Macaca mulatta: one gene and its partners. The protein of the gene in region 3 interacts with the protein of the main gene of each other region in a biochemical or structural test. Links are inferred from orthologs where the notes say so. Each region holds a gene or a part of one and is shown on either strand. Other genes may lie near its edges. The genes, in order: SMURF2, ACVRL1 and SMAD1.

Region 1 (5,595 bases), on a different chromosome or scaffold from region 3:
TTGCTAAGTTTTTTGTCACTGGCCTCTTAAATTGTGGTAGCAGCTATCGTTCACGTTGATTTCTATATGTTTGTAGTACAAGGAAGCATTTCTAAAGGACCTTGTTCATTGCTTTGCACAAAATGACCACTTAATATTTGTTGAATGATTTGCTGGCACTATCTCTGGTATTTTTATTTTTATTTATTTATGTATTTATTTTTGATATGGAGTCTCGCTCTGTCACCCAGGCTGAAGTGCAGTGGTGTGATCTCGGCTCACTGCAACCTCCCATGTTCAAGCGATTCTTGTGCCTCAGCCTTCCTAATTGCTGAGACCACAGGCATGCACCACCACGCCTGGCTAATTTTTATATATATATTTTTTAGTACAGACAGGAGTTCACCATGTTGGCCAGGCTGGTCTCGAACTCCTGACCTCAAATTATCCGCCCTCCTGGGCCTCCCAAAGTGTTGGAATTACAGGCATGAGCCACTGTGACCGGTCTATCTGTGGTATTTTTAGTGTGATATCTAGAACTTCATATACTTTTTTGGATTACTTTTAATTGTATATCTGTATCCAAACTGATGAAATGCTCTTAGAGGTAACTATCTGGAGAAGTGACTCCACTGATGCATTAAAAGAAATAACCGGCATGGAATAAGGATTAAAATATATTAATCCAAAACATTTAAAATTGCATTAATGTTATAATAGCCTAAAGCAAAACTAAGGAATCACATAAAAAATCCCCCACGCTGTTGTCAGTAGTTTACATTGTGCTAGATATTTTCACATGTATATGCATACAACTTCTATTCTGCTTTTAAACTTTGCATTACATATACATTCTTCCATAGTATATGATCTTCATAAAAATAGTTATATGGCTGCATAAAAAACCATGCGGTTCCTGGACCATTATGCTGTTCCCTCATTCCCCTTTTGGTATTAATGGAATATAACAAAGAACATCTTCTGTACGATTATTTGTCAAGAATAGGGCCAGTGAGGTGGCTCAGGTCTGTAATCCCAGCACTTTGGGAGGCCGAGGCGGGCGGATCGCTTGACGTCAGGAGTTCGTGACCAGCCTGGGCAACATGGGAAAACCTAAATGTCTCTTCTAAACATGTCTCTACTAAAAATACAAAAATTAGTGGGGCGTAGCGGTGCACACTTTTGGTCCCAGCTAGTCCAGAGGCTCAGGTGGGAGGATCACCTGAACCCGGGAAGTTGAGACTGCGGGGAGCCGTGATCGCACCACTGTAGTCCAGCCTGGATGACAGAGGGAGACCCTGTCCAAAAAAAGAAAAAATATTTCTAGCAGTACAGTTACAAGGTCAAAGGATAAGGCGCACATTTTTTTTTAAAAATTTCTCCTCCTGAGATAACGAAATACAGTAGTGTATTAACAACTCTTCACACATTACTCTCCAAGGTTTATCTTGTTAATCCTTTAAGACGTATCATCTCCCCATCCTTGGCTGCACCTGAAAAGAGCGGGAGTCGGCAGGTAACCCTATCTCCTCCACCAGGTGAGTTCCGGATGGAGGTGTCAACTACAAGACTAGGAGCAGAGCACTCCTGGGGTTTTGCTGGAACCATCGGCGTGGGAATGCGGTCTCTTCCCTCGTCCGAAAGACGCTAAGTTCCCGGGAGGCAGCGGACTCGGTTCTAACCTTCCTCGCCCCAGTCTCTAGGAGCGCCCTGCACGCAGTGGGCGTCTAATAAATGCAGTCGGCGCTGTTGGGACAAAAGCTCTCCCTTAAGTGGACCGGACACTAAATCCCTCCAGGTGTCACAGAGCTGCCGCGCCCGCCGCCACTTTGCTCCCTGCCTGCTCCCTCCCCGCGTTCCTCGTGGGACCCTCCGCGGCAACTTACACCCTTTCTGACAGCCGGTGCCCGCCCGGGGCACCCTGCGCGCGCCCGACGACCCCGCCCTGGCCCCGCCCCGCCCCGCTGGCCCCGCCCCGCCCGCCGGCCCCGCCTCCCGTCTCCTCCCCGCCCCCTGGAGCAGACGAGTGGCGGCGGCGGCCCGAGGTCCCGGGTCCCTCAGACAAGAGGGCGGGTGGAGGAGGAAGCGGCCGAGCCCAGAGTCCTGGTCCGGCGTCGCCGAGCACCGCCCGCCTCAGCCGACCAGCCCCGTCGGCTACTGGGCCTCGCCGAGACGAGAGGAAGGAAAGGCCGCTGCGCCCGCGAGGAGGCGGCGGGGGCGCGGGCGGAGGCGGCGCGGGCGGCCGCGGCTGCCGCTTTGTTGTGCGGCCCGGGCCGAGGAAGGAGAAGTGGGAGGAGGGGGGAGCTCGGCGTCCCGCTCCCTCCGCGGCTCATGGCGACGACGCTCGGCACATCCGGGACCCTCCGGCCGTGGCGGCCGCGGCGCCGGCTGCTCGGGCCCCAGCCCCGGCCGCTGTGGTGACTCCGCCGCGCCTCGCCGTCGCCCCCGTCCCCGTCCCGCCCGCCGCCCCCGCCGCCGGGGACATGTCTAACCCCGGAGGCCGGAGGAACGGGCCCGTCAAGCTGCGCCTGACAGGTGAGGGGGGGCGGCGGGCCGGGCTGGGCAGCCGCGGGGTGGGCGAGCTGGCGGGGGGTGCCTGTGGCCTTAGGAAGGGCCAGGGTCGCGATCAATGGTGAGTTGGGGGTCGGAGGAGTGGGAAGGCCTAGTTCAGGGAGAGTAATTGGAAAACCACTTGCTACGGCTTGGGCATTCTTTAAAAAGCCGAGGATGACTCGGGGCGGGGGGTGGGGGTGGTCTTTTGTGGAGGGGAGGATACACCGGTTCGCATCGCAGGCGGATTTCAGGTCGGAAAGTCTTGGTCAAGGAGCCCGACGCTGCCTCCCGGGTCTCGGGGAGCAGCCCCTGGGCTACCGCCCAGGTGGGATCGTGAAGGGGATGAAGAGCTCCCGTGGCGAGGATTATTGAATCCGGTTGCTGACTGCGCGCAGTAAACACTCCTTAAAGATGGAGCGCTTAACGGGAGGGTGTGCGTGTGTGTTCCCGGGTTGTTACCTTGCACACCCACTTATGCCCGCATGAAAAACCTTTACTCCCCGCCGCCGGCCACCGCTGCCGGGGCCACACACCTTGAACTCACGTCTCTCTGAGGAGAGGAGACAGGTTGACTTTTCCGGTGTGCCTGTCTGATCCGACGGCTCGGGCTCATTGTACACTGTGTTTTGGAAGTGTCTGATTGTAGGGTGGCATGTTTGGGGTTGTTCCTTGTAGGCCGCAGAACTCGTGTCTCACTTCTAACTCCCGACCTGCTTTAAAAACACACTTTTTTGGGGGGAGGGAGGGGGTACATTTCTAAGTATGTCCTCATACAAACTTTAGAGCAAACTTTCTGTTACTCTCCCCACCCTCCCCCTTCCTTTTTCTAAATGGAAAAGTATGTCCGGAGGGGTTGTCAGATAGAAGACTACACTTACAAAGTGTTTATGATTCCAGGTGCATGAAATCTTTAATATTACAGGTACGTTTTACTTACAGTGCCATTTTTGGTATTCTTACATGGACATGCCACCCCCGTTTTAGGAGCACTTGTATTTGGTTTGAAAAGGAATTGAAATCACGTCGTTATCCTACCTTCACCATTTACCCCTGATAAATTGTCCACGTTTATATTCGGGTGAGTGGTGAGAAAGATAATTTTCCGTAGAGGATTTGTGTGTGCGTGCACGTGTACGAATCAACTGTAATTATGTTTGCCCACACTAGACTTTGAGATTTATTTGGACTAATTTTGTAGTTGAATGCTTATGTGACACATCTCAGTCCACTGGCTGAACTTGCTGGGTGAAACCTTGCAGTGAATTTGGTATTTGAGAATTTAGCTTGAATGTATGTTGGCTGCAATTTAAATAATATATTACCTTCATGACAGTTTTCCTTTCCCTAGGGAAAATTGCAAGGAATCATTAACTGAGTGGTTCTTAATGAAAAACCTGGATTGCAGGATACTTGTATTCCCACTTCTCCCCCGCTGTCCCCCATTCAGTGTCCTTATATTGGGAGGAGACAATGGAAACCTTTATAGGGGATCTTTGTTGCTTTCGAGTTTATCTGTTGCTGTTGCTATCTGGAGTCAGTGATCGTGGAAAGAACATGTGATCCCAGGTGTGCAGAAAGCATCAGAAATTGGCTGTTTCCATTTACTTTCCTCTGGGCTATATAGATGAGGGAAAAAATAGGGATTTTGATTTTCTTCAAATAAAGTTAGTTGAGGTTTTTAGTATGACTCAGTAGATCTTAAAGTGTTTATCTGTGGTTTCCGTACTACCTATGATACGTTATAAAAATTTATAATTAAAGTTTGTTAAGAGGAAAGATTATGCTTATATTTTAGGGGAAGAGGGAATATTGCACTACATTTATAGTGATTTTGTTTCAGGTTTTTCTGAGGAGTTTTAAATACCCTGTGTCCTCTTAATAGTAAAAACAGTTTGAGGTACTCTGAGTTTCTTACAACTATTTGTCTCTGAATCGTTTTCTCTCAAAATTTGACAAATATTAAAAACATTGTCCTTCCTTCTTTGGTTACAGTGGAGTCTCTTCTGTTTTGCCAGGAAAGTTAACATTTTTTTTTTCCATTTTTGTTCATCATTTACAAATTAGATGGTATAGATTTTAGCAAATAGATCTCAAGAGCTGGATTCAATTAGCAGCTTTTTAGGACATAAACATTAAAGGGTTAGATGGAAAAGATTGTTTTGACTGACTGGATAAATGACGGGGCTGTGTTTGATGTGCGTCCAGGAATTGGTCTGGAGCTGGTGCCCAACTTCTCAGTCCATCTTGAGAAGCCAAATAAAATATTTAACCTAGGCCTCATTTTGTTTAAAAAAAAAGTTGATTCTTTGTTAAGACCTTAAGAAATGTTTGGCGTACCTTTAGACTAAGTGTTTAACAGTTCATTTAGATCTGGGTTCCCTAATAGAGGAAAAAAAATCACTTAAAAAAAGACAGATCTCACAGTGAATTTATATTTGGTTTACAATACCCTTGGGCTATAAGGTGTTTTAAAATTATTATTCTTTGCTTTAAGTTAATACCATATTAGTATTTTAAATTTATAGAGTACCTTTGATTTCAAGATGTTGTATAAACTTTAGTTAGTTGATAATAACCTTATTGTGGAATTGCCCCTTTACTGAAAGGTATAAACATTTCTTACATGGTGACGCGCGCACACACTCACATACACTCACACATACACACACTCACACACTCACTCATACACACACTCTCTTTCTGAACAAGAGGAAATATTTGAACCATGAGATCTCTGCCCACAATTGATATTAGACCTTTCCACATATTATTCTTAAAACCACCATCAGTGAACTGTTTGGTATTTGTCAATGCTAAGAAGGTGGGGCTAATTTAATAATTTGATCCCAAATTTTAGATTCCTCAGGCAACTGGGGGTTAGAATCCGATTTCATCCATCAAGCTACTTCTGTTCTTTTTTTTTTTTTTTTTTTTGAGACGGAGTCTCGCTCTGTCACCCAGGCTGGAGTGCAGTGGCCGGATCTCAGCTCACTGCAAGCTCCGCCCCCCGGGTTCACGCCATTCTCCTGCCTCAGCCTCCCGAGTAGCTGGGACTATAGGCGC
Region 2 (5,595 bases), on a different chromosome or scaffold from region 3:
AGACCTGAGATCATGCCACTGCACTCCAGCCTGGGCAACACTGCGAGACTCCCTCCCAAAAAAAAAGAAAAGAAAAAGAATGATGCTTGAACTTAATACTCATAGCAGGTCCTGCAAGGTGAAGGTGTCCATTGCCCTGCCTTCCTGACAGACTCCATGTCACCCGCCTTCCACAGATGAGAATCTCCTCGAGGTTTCACCCCACACAGAATCTTCAGGCCTCTGCTTCCTGCACTGTTGGGAAATCCTTCTGACTATCTAAATTGTCCTTTGGGCCTGTTTCCTCTTGTTCTGTCCTCACTGAATATGGGGAACAGCTGGTCCCTCTGAGTAATTAATTCTTGCAGACTTGGACACAGTCTGTAATTCCTTTTCCCTTTTCTCATTGGGATGACTCTCTAGGGCTTTCTCCAACTCTGGATCTCCAACTCTGACACCTCCCCCAGGTTCTCTGTGTGCTTTGGAAGGCATGGGGTTCACAAGAGCCCCAAAGAGCACTAGTCAGGGGCCAGAGGGCTCAGTGCTCCGGGGACAGGGGGAAGACTCCAGCACTGATGAACAGACCCCAGCCCCCCTGGGTCTTCTCTTCCAACTCCCAAAATGTACTCTATTTTTATCCGTTTCACAAACTCTGCAGATAGTCTTCCATCCCTCGCTGACTGTCAGAAGTGACTCTCAGCTCTCGTCCATCTTGAAGTCTCTGTGCTCAGTGTGCCTCTCAGACCGAAGGCTTCCCTTGGGAAGCCCCCACTCTCGCTTCTCAAGACAGAGATCTGGGGGTTGGGGGAGGAAAAGGTTGACCAGAAGCCATAGCAGAGCAGGGAGAGACAGTGTGAAAGACAGACCTGCAGCCAGGCTCCCAGTTCTCCAGCTCATAGAGAGCCCAAGTGGCCGCTATAATCTGAAAGAGCAGATATCGTAATCCCATAGTACTTCCTATTGGCTGCAGGACACAGTTCTGTCCTGACACTGAAATTTGGGTGTGTCAGGGTTCTGGGAATTCACGACGCTCACAACTTGTGAAGCAGCTGCAGGGTGGGGGATGGGGAGGGTTTCAGCAGAGGAAGTGAGGTCAGTCAATAATTGATGCCTGTCTGAGCTTTTAGCCATTATCTCCCCCAGCCTCTATTCCTGTCAAAAGGCGGGGCGGGGCGGGGGGAGGGGTCCCTGGCTCATCTTGTAGAATCCCCATATTAGAGTAAGACACCTTAGAGGTCTACTCCTGCTTCTAATACCCACGTCTTTCCAAGTGTCTCTGAGGCCACCCCCTCCCCAGCCTTTTCATTTATTCATTTAATTAACAAACGCCTTCATTGAGGGCCTCCTCTGAGTCAGGCTCAGCCAGCCAGCATCTTTGCTATGAGCTGAGATAAGCATCATTTCCTTCTATTCTCACAACCACCCTATGAGGCTGGCACCGTTTACTATGCCTATTTAGCAGATGGGGGACTGAAGCATGGAGAGGTGTCACTAGCCTACGGTAACACAACCAGCCTGCCTTCCTAGTAGGTAGTTTGACTTCAGAGTCTCTGTGGATAACCAGGAGGCTAGGACTAAGACCAGAGTCCTGCAGGTAGTCAGGTGGTTGGAGCAAAGCAGGGCAGTGAGGTCAGTGCTCCCAGCCTGTGCAGGCGCACCAGGAAGAGTCTGTGTGCCCCTCCGCTGCCTATGTGAAGCCATTCTGCTTCCCTCCCCAGCTGCCTTGTGTCAGCAGTGTTCCAGGGAGGCTCCCTTCCCCACCTCTATTTAAAGTTCCATTTGCTGGGGTGGGGGCCCTGCCTGGAAGGGGAAGGTCCAAGGCAGCTCCCATCGTGTCCCTCCATGCTGACCGTCCCTGGAGGGGCGGGGGTGTCTTTGTCACCCAGCTGCACAGCGGCCAGGAAGGGCTCAAACCATCCTCAGGGCTAACCCAAGGCTGTCCCTCTGGGCCTGTATACCCCTGTGCTGAGTGCGGATGGGGAGAGGCTGCTGAAGAGAGGATGGGACAAATGAGGGATGAAGGGGCCCGAGGGAGGGGACTGAAGGATTTGGGCCAAGTCGGGAGTTCCCGAGGGCGGAGCCAAAACGCATCTGGACTTTTGCTAGCCCCAAACTCTGCCCTCACTGCTCCAAGCCTCCTAGACCGAGGACCCCGGGCTGAGGGTGGGGTAAGGATAGGTAGTGTCCCTCCCCGTCTCACCCCCGCCTGTCCCTTCCTTGGTGGCCCCTTCCCAGCGCCCAGATCCCAGGCGGCCCCTCCGATGCTGCCAGCCATCCCCCTCTACCCCCACCCACTGCTCCGGCCGCCAGACATTGCCTACAGTTTCGCCTCTGTCTCCCACGGCTATGGGTCCAGACCCCACGGGACCCCTATGGGACCCCCACAGGACCCCCACAGCCCGAGTCAAAGGCCCGCCCCCTCGGGGAGGCGGATGTGGGAGGTCCGGCCCGGGTGCTGGCCAGCGATCCGGGAGCTGCGGGCTGCTGGTAGGGGAGGCCCCCTGAGGGGCTGGGAGCGGCGCGGGGGAGGGTCCCGGTCCTGCAGCCCCAGCGAGGGGCGAGCGGCGGCCAGTCGGCGAGCTGGGCAATAAGGAAACGGTTTATTAGGAGGGAGTGGTGGAGCTGGGCCAGGCAGGAAGACGCTGGAATAAGAAACATTTTTGCTCCAGCCCCCATCCCAGTCCCGGGAGGCCGCTGCGCCAACCGCGCCGAGCGAGCCCCTCCCCGGCTCCAGCCCGGTCCGAGGCCGCGCCCGGACCCCAGCCCGCAGTCCAGCGCTCGCGGTGCAACCGCGGCCGCGCGGTGGAGGGGAGGTGGCCCCGGCCCACCGAAGGCTCGCGCCCCGCCACCCGCAGAGCGGGCCCAGAGGTGAGTCGACGTCCGCGGACGGGACCGGGTGGCGGGCGGCCTGACCCCCGCATCAGTGGGCCGTTCCTTCGGGCGGACCCCAGAGTCACCGCAGAGTGGTCGTGGTAGGCTCAATCCCAGCTCATTAGAAACGCAAGCTGCCCCTGGCTGACCCCGCACAGCTTACCCATGACCCTACCTGAGAGGAGGGGACTGGACGAGACCCGACTGGAAATCAGAAACTTGGCTCTAAGTCAGTGACTTCACTTCTCTGTTCTACCCTCTTCATAAAATGGGCAGTGGGATTCTTGTCTTGCTCTACTCACATAGAAGGGATCACACGTCCTCCAGGCCGCTGTGTGGACCTGGAGTGAATGTCCACTTCCACAGCTGTTGAGACTCCCCGCAGAGCTCACCTTTCCCAGACCAGTCCTTCCAGTTGTTGCTTGAGGAATCTGACACTATCATTCCAACCAAGGAGCCTCACCCCCAGCCTCGCATGGTCAGTCATCTCCGTTCCACGACCTTCCTTCAGGACCCAGGCCAAAGGGGATCCCAGTCTCCCTCCAGGCTGGGACCCCAGATTTTCCATCTGCCCTGGAGGCCAGTGCTGTGAAACCCACGGCTGAGCTGGCTGCCCCAGCTCCTCTTTCCTTCTCCAAGGACAGGGGTATAATGGACAGTTGCTCTCACCCTCTCTACCAGCTTCTGGCTGAGTCAGGGTCGGTCCTCATACCTGTTCTCTCACCTGTCCTCCCATTTCATTGGTTTGTTAGAAATAGCTACCATTTATTGAGTACTAACTATGTAGACACTTAGATACATTTTTTTCTCATGTAATCCTGGTCACAACCTAGTGGAAGAGGGGTTACTATGTCCATCCTACAGAAAAGGAAACAGACATGAATAACTTGTCCAAAACTCCTTGGATGGTGGGGTAAATGGCATGGTTGGGGTCTTGATAACATTTAAGTGCTTACTGTATACTACTTATACTCTGCTAAATAATTTTGCTACATTTTACCTATGAGATAACACTATTATTCCCACTTTACATATGATGGGAAGCCTAAGCCTCAGAAAGTTTAAGTAACTTGTTTCAAATCTCATGCCTCTAAGAGGCAAAGGCAGGATTTGAACCCAGGTCTCCATGCTCCTGAGCCCACACCCTAACCTCTGTGCTACTCTGTGCTGCCTCCATGGTCTGCCTGAGACCTGAAAATCCAGGCTTGTTCCGCTGCATCACCCCGCTGTGAGGGGCTAATAAATCACGTGGATGAATCGTAGGGGCAACCCAATATGAACAGCTGGGTCTGGTCCTCTGCTGTTGGGGTAAGGCCTACTGAAGTGCAGAGTGAGTCCAGAAGGTTGTGCTTGAGATGGTGCTTCTCCAGCCCTGTGACAATCACGGCTGTGCTGAGCCACTGCCGTTGATGGGAGTGGGTTTTATCAATCCTTCAGGTGTGCTGGGGAGAAAAAGATTGATAAGCACCTTTGGGGCATACCACTACTCTGGCTCTCCCCACGGAAGGCTCAGACTTTGACTACGCCTATGGCAAACTGATGATTTCTGGGCAGCAACACTGTTGCCTGGGGCAACATAGTGAGACCCTATCTCTACTAAAAATAAAACTGGGCATGGTGCTGCACCCCCCTGTAGTCCCAGCCACTTGGGAGGCTGAGGTGGGAGGATCACTTGAGCTCAGGAGTTCAAGGTTACAGTGAGCTATGATTGCACCACCGCACTTCAGCCTGGGCAACTGAGCAAGACCCTGTCTCAAAAAAAATTAAAAACAAACAAAAACGCTGTCTGCATTTAAACAAATCTGAGTAGGGCACCCGTTAATAACAACAGCAGTGGGCAATTTGTTCATGTCCACCGAGACCCATGTCTTTTTCTTCCTTTGAGGAACTCATCTAACCCCAAACAATTGGAGGAATAACAACGACCAAGGAAGGATTTATTATCAGCAATTTAAGTTTATTAAGACACACTCAGTGACTATGGACAGGAAACCTAACATCTCTGAACCTCACTTTCCCCCATTGGACTGTTGTGATGATTAAATCAGATAAACCATTCAAGTTCAGTACTTAGCACATAATTAGTACTCAGAGAAGGTTAACTGTTATTATTACTTCATAGTGTTTAGCTAACGTTTGAATTTAGTTTAACGTTTGTAATTTCTGGCCAACAATAGTGATGCTTCTGTCAGCAGGAGATCTTTCACAAAGTTTTGCTTAGAAGTGAAAGGATCCTGCCAGGCCCCAGGAGTCTGTTTGTGCTACAGTCAGATTTTAGGGCAAATTGTAAAGAGTCAGCTCTGAGTTTGAACTGGTCAGGACTCAGCACCCTTCTGTTCTTGACCTCACACTGGGTCCAGTTAAAAATTGGACAGTCCCAATTTTACTCCATCACATTCCCAGGATTAGACCAAAGATGGGTTCTGCAGATGCAGACAGGCCTCGCTCCACAGTGTCACCAAGTCCCGGCTTTGGTGTTTACCCTTGGCTGTCCCTTCTCTAGTAGATGGGGAGGGTCCTGGGTGGGAGTGAGTGTCCCCTCCCTCTGCGTCCCACTCCCACTCACCCAGCAGGGCCCTGTACAGCAAAATGAAAGCAGAGGAACCAGACTTAGCATTGTGCAGGACCCATTTCTCAAAGAGTGGTGCCCACACAAACTGATCAGAACTCCCTGGGAAACTTTTAAAAAATGCATGTTTCTTGCTGATTCCAGGACTGAATCAGAGTCTGTAGTGAGGGTGAAAC
Region 3 (4,641 bases):
CCAGCCTGGCCAACATGGTGAAACCCCATCTCTACTAAAAATATAAAAAGTAGCCAGGTGTGGTGGTGTATCCCTGTAATCCCCGCTACTTGGGAAGCTTAGGCATGAGAATCACTTGAATCCAGGAGGCGGAGGTTACCACGAGTCAAGATCACACCACTGCACTCCGGCCTGGGTGACAGAGCAAGACTCTGTCTCAGGCAGGTGGATCACTAGAGGTCAGGAGTTTGAGACCAGCCTGGCCAACATGGCGAAACTCTGACTCTACTAAAAATACAGAAATTAGCCGGGTGCTGTGGCACACGCCTGTAATCCCAGTTACTCGGGAGCCTGAGGCAGGAGAATTGCTTGAACCTGGGAGGCGGAGGTTGTAGTGAGCCGAGATCACACCATTGCACTCCAGACTGGGCGACAGAGCAAGACTCTGTCTTAAAAAAAAAAAAAAAAAAGAAAGAAAGAAAAGGAAATGTATCCGAACATCAAAACTTGTATAAACTACATCTATATAGATATATGTATCTACATAGATGTACGTACACTCATGCGTTTGTAAATATAAACAAACTCCTAAATTTAATTTACAGGCTTATGTGCAGGTTTCCTCCATCAGATATCAACATCTTTGAAGGCAGGAATTTATCTTTACCTCCGATATATAGCATAACGACAGAAGGCAGAAGCTCTATAAATATGTGTTCAGCTGAGCTGACTTGGACTTTTCAGACATAGAGTTTAAAGTACAAATAATTTATAAAATATGTTTTATGTTAACATCCAAAAATCATTTTGAAAACAGCTCAAGATTGGCTACTGTTAGTAAAATGTTCTGTTACAATTTCTTTAAAATGTTGAGTGGGAGAGGATAAAGTGTGCAGTCCATATAATAAAGAACAGTTCTGTAAAAACAGTGTGCACATTTTTTGTTGCTAATATATGATAAACAGTTTCTCTTTAACATTCAGCAGGATTTTTAAATATTATTTACCTTCGGCTCTCTAAATCCAACTTCCAGGCTAAGTTCATTATATCTTGTATAATTCTCCATTCTAGTGCTTATCAGATTATAATTAAAGATATACTAGAGCATAAGGATCTTGATAATAGAGACTTTAGGTGCTTTTTCATCTTTGTATTACTTCTCTGAAATAGTGCTAAAATATCTGCTGAACGAATAAAATCTAATAAATTTTGAATGCATAACTTTGCATTATAAATACTTTTATTAGTGTAAAAGTTTTTACTTGTGTAAAAGTAAATTATTAAAACTGTACAAAAGTAAAATAATGAACATTGATTGGATAAACAATAAGAAATGAGTTTGAGCAGGAAGCTAATTGGAACATTAAAGTCATAAATTCTCCTAGAGTGGTCCTTCAATAATAGACTCACTAAGGGACCTTAATAATAATTACCACAGTTCTCAACTCCATCCACCCCCATTTCAAAGATAATAAAGATGAGAACCAGAGAAGAAATCTGCCTTAATCACACAGTTAAAATGGCAGGAAAAAACTGGAAACTGCACCTCGACTCTCAAGAGTTGTTCTTTCCTCCATACCAATAAAAACAATAAACGAAAACACTTCTGGCAGGTCACTGTTCTAATTTTAAAAACCATTTGAGCCAAATGCTAAGTCAAAAATTAAACAGCACATGTTAATAATGAATAAGATAGGTCTTTGTAGCCCCATATGTACATAGCATATAGGTCAACCTCTTCAAAGTGTAAAAAAAATTTCTTAATACTAACAAGGTACCAGACTCAGCTACAAATAACTGTTGAAGTACACTGCAAAAAGGAAGCAAGCAAGCAAACAAACAAAAACAAACACTAAGGGAACACACTGAAAATCTAAGATGCTTTAAATAAGTAGGAAAAGTAATTATATTCAGGAAAAGGTATCTTTGATCTAAGGGATGATTAACAAGTAAGGCTCCAAAATTATCCTCAGTAATAAATACATTACAAAACAGGTTTAACAACAAGTTTTGTGAGCTTCTGAACAGAAGACATAAAAGGTAATTGCCTCACTCAAATATATAATTAGTTCTGTTTCTCAAAGTACAAGAGGATGAAACTTATTTTTGAGAATTCAGAGACAGGTCAGTTACTAGAATAAGTCACTGACTCATGAAATCTAATCAGACATTTAAGGTTTTTTAGATTTCAATGGCATCCTAAAAATTTTTATTTCTCAGAGGCAGAAGATGAGACAGCAAAAAGATCAATTATTATGAGCAATGTGTTTAACCTTCTCCCTCATCAAACCTTACAATGCAATCTTTGAGCTAAGGCATCTATTTATCTTGGGCAAGGGCCTTATTAACTTTTGAATTGTTAAGAAAATCATGAGGCTTACTGAAACCACTAAAAAAACCTGACCAAACACAATTTCCAATGTGATGAACTTTAATTTTTACAAAAAGATCACTTCCTTACTCTTGAAACAAAAACAAGCATTACCATCATAAAAGTACTAAAAACAAAGAACGAAAAGTAAGGAAGATATGTTTACTCAACTGATCTTGTAAAACAACCATGTATTTAAATTATATTTTAAATATGTAACATAACATATTCTACTGGTAATACAATAGCTAAAGCGGTGCTATCTGAATAAGGAAAAGGCTATTAAAACCCACAGCTATTGATATTTAATACAAGTACTCCTATGTTCCTATGATATTTTCCTAATAATTGACACTCTTGTTACAGTTTAAAAATGCCTAGATAATAAGTCAGCTAATATAAACATATTATCAAGAAGATATAGATTCACATATTGCCAAAAAAAAAAAAAAGCACAGCAAAAGTATGTTAGACCCTAAATGGAGGAGTCAGAGTTCACTTACCTTCACAAAGCTCATACGTATAGTACACATTTTTGTAAGCTCATAGACTGTCTCAAATCCATGGTTCACAGACTGTGCCAATAACTGAGCAAATTCTTGGTTGTTAAAAATTTTCAGACTACACCCACTAGGGATCTTGCAAACAGTAGTAGGATGAAATCCATGATGGTAGTTGCAGTTCCGACTTTGCACAAAGATGCTACTGTCACTAAGGCATTCGGCATATACCTCCCCTCCAACATAATAAAGATGAACTCCTATTGGAAGACAAAGCATATAATTTAGTTATTATTAATTTTTATAGCTCAAAGGCACCTGTGCAGCTTCAACACAGAAACTTAAATTTACATGGATTTAAACTTCGGCTAGTTAGATAGCTATTCTCTAAGTCCTGTACAACAGGGGTCCCCAACCCCCGAGGCCATGGACCTGTATCAGTCCGTGGCCTGTTACACAGCAGGAGGTGAGTGAGCAAGCATTACAGTCCGAGCTCCTCCTCCTGTCAGATCAGTGGCAGCATTAGATGCTCATAGAAGCATGAACCCTATTGTGAACTGTGCATGTGAGGGATCTAGGTTGCGTGCTCCTTATGAGAATCTAATGCCTGATGATCTGAGTGGAACAGTTTCATCCTGAAACTATCCCTTCCCCATCCCCTGTGGAAAAATTGTCTTCCATGAAATCGGTCCCTGGTGCCAAAAGATTGGGGATGGCTGATGTATGATTGATAAAATCTTAGTTAACTGTATTAGTTAACACAGTATCTAGGAGGTTTCTAGAAAAATAACAAAATGTTTAAAAAAATACTAATAGGCCAGGCACAGTGGTTCAGACCTGTAATCTCGGCACTTTGGGAAGCCAAGGTGGACAGATTGCTTGAGTTCAGGAGTTCAAGACTAGCCTGGGCAGCATGGCGAAACCCCATCTCCACCAAAAAAAAAAAAAGAAAGAAAAAAAAGAAAAAACATCAGCTAGGCACAGTGGTGCACACCTGTAGTCCCAATTACACAGAGGCTGAGGTGGCAGGATTGCATGAGGCAAGGAGGTCAAGGCTGCAGTGAGCTGTGATCAAGCCACTGCACTCCAGATTGGGTGACAGAGTGAGACCCTGTCTCAAATAACAACAACAACAACAACAAAATGAAGCGATTTCATTTTGGTAAGTAATTAATGTCCTACTTGGCCAGACATGGAAAGTATATTTGCACTCTAAAAATACAACATAATAAAACCTGGATGCTATGTATTTACTATAAAGCACTTTTGCATTTATTGTACAGCTAAGATGTTTGGAAAATTTTAGAAAGGGAAGAGAGGAGAAAGAGAAGAGAGGAACTGTAAAGTCACAGGTGGAAGAAGTATTGCCAAGAGCTGTAAGATATGAGATCCAGTAAAAAAAACCATGAAAATGAAACTAGAAAAGTCATACGGTGTATGTAAAATTAGATCTCACTAAACTATCACCTGCTCCGAACTTCTTCCTTTGAGACCCAGACTGCTTAAAGTGTAGCAAATTGGTCTTACCCTGCCTTTAAAAAAAGGAAAGTAGGGGTAAAAAACTCATTCTCACAAAGCCCCACACCACTGTGGGAGATGACTTTATATAGGTCCCCCAGCAGCGTTAGATCCTATGTGGGTTTAAATGATCCACTTTGTAGGTAACTCTGGTATGGCTTAGTCAAGGCTATACTGTGTCTCATAGAAAATGTTACATGTTGTGTTTATATGTATACACAACAGTTAGGATTTCTGTAACAATTAAATAGCTGCTGGAACAGAAGCCCATTT

Evidence for each region.
Region 1: the proteins of SMAD1 (region 3) and SMURF2 form a complex in vitro, tested with the Homo sapiens proteins (2 studies listed by BioGRID and IntAct, with this or other methods). The link is inferred for Macaca mulatta from reciprocal best matches to the Homo sapiens genes SMAD1 and SMURF2.
Region 2: of the proteins of SMAD1 (region 3) and ACVRL1, one has a biochemical effect on the other in vitro, tested with the Homo sapiens proteins (2 studies listed by BioGRID). The link is inferred for Macaca mulatta from reciprocal best matches to the Homo sapiens genes SMAD1 and ACVRL1.

The regions. Positions count from the first base shown.
Region 1 is NC_133421.1:74,558,541-74,564,135, reverse strand, and holds the start of SMURF2 (E3 ubiquitin-protein ligase SMURF2), read left to right. Parts: upstream 1-1,999; 5' UTR 2,000-2,462; coding exon 2,463-2,514; intron 2,515-5,595. UniProt on the Homo sapiens protein: E3 ubiquitin-protein ligase which accepts ubiquitin from an E2 ubiquitin-conjugating enzyme in the form of a thioester and then directly transfers the ubiquitin to targeted substrates.
Region 2 is NC_133416.1:59,087,637-59,093,231, forward strand, and holds the start of ACVRL1 (activin receptor type-1-like), read left to right. Parts: upstream 1-2,224; 5' UTR 2,225-2,325; coding exon 2,326-2,466; intron 2,467-2,648; coding exon 2,649-2,847; intron 2,848-5,595. UniProt on the Homo sapiens protein: Type I receptor for TGF-beta family ligands BMP9/GDF2 and BMP10 and important regulator of normal blood vessel development. On ligand binding, forms a receptor complex consisting of two type II and two type I transmembrane serine/threonine kinases.
Region 3 is NC_133410.1:154,124,682-154,129,322, reverse strand, and holds part of SMAD1 (mothers against decapentaplegic homolog 1), read right to left. Parts: intron 3,111-4,641; coding exon 2,854-3,110; intron 1-2,853. UniProt on the Homo sapiens protein: Transcriptional modulator that plays a role in various cellular processes, including embryonic development, cell differentiation, and tissue homeostasis.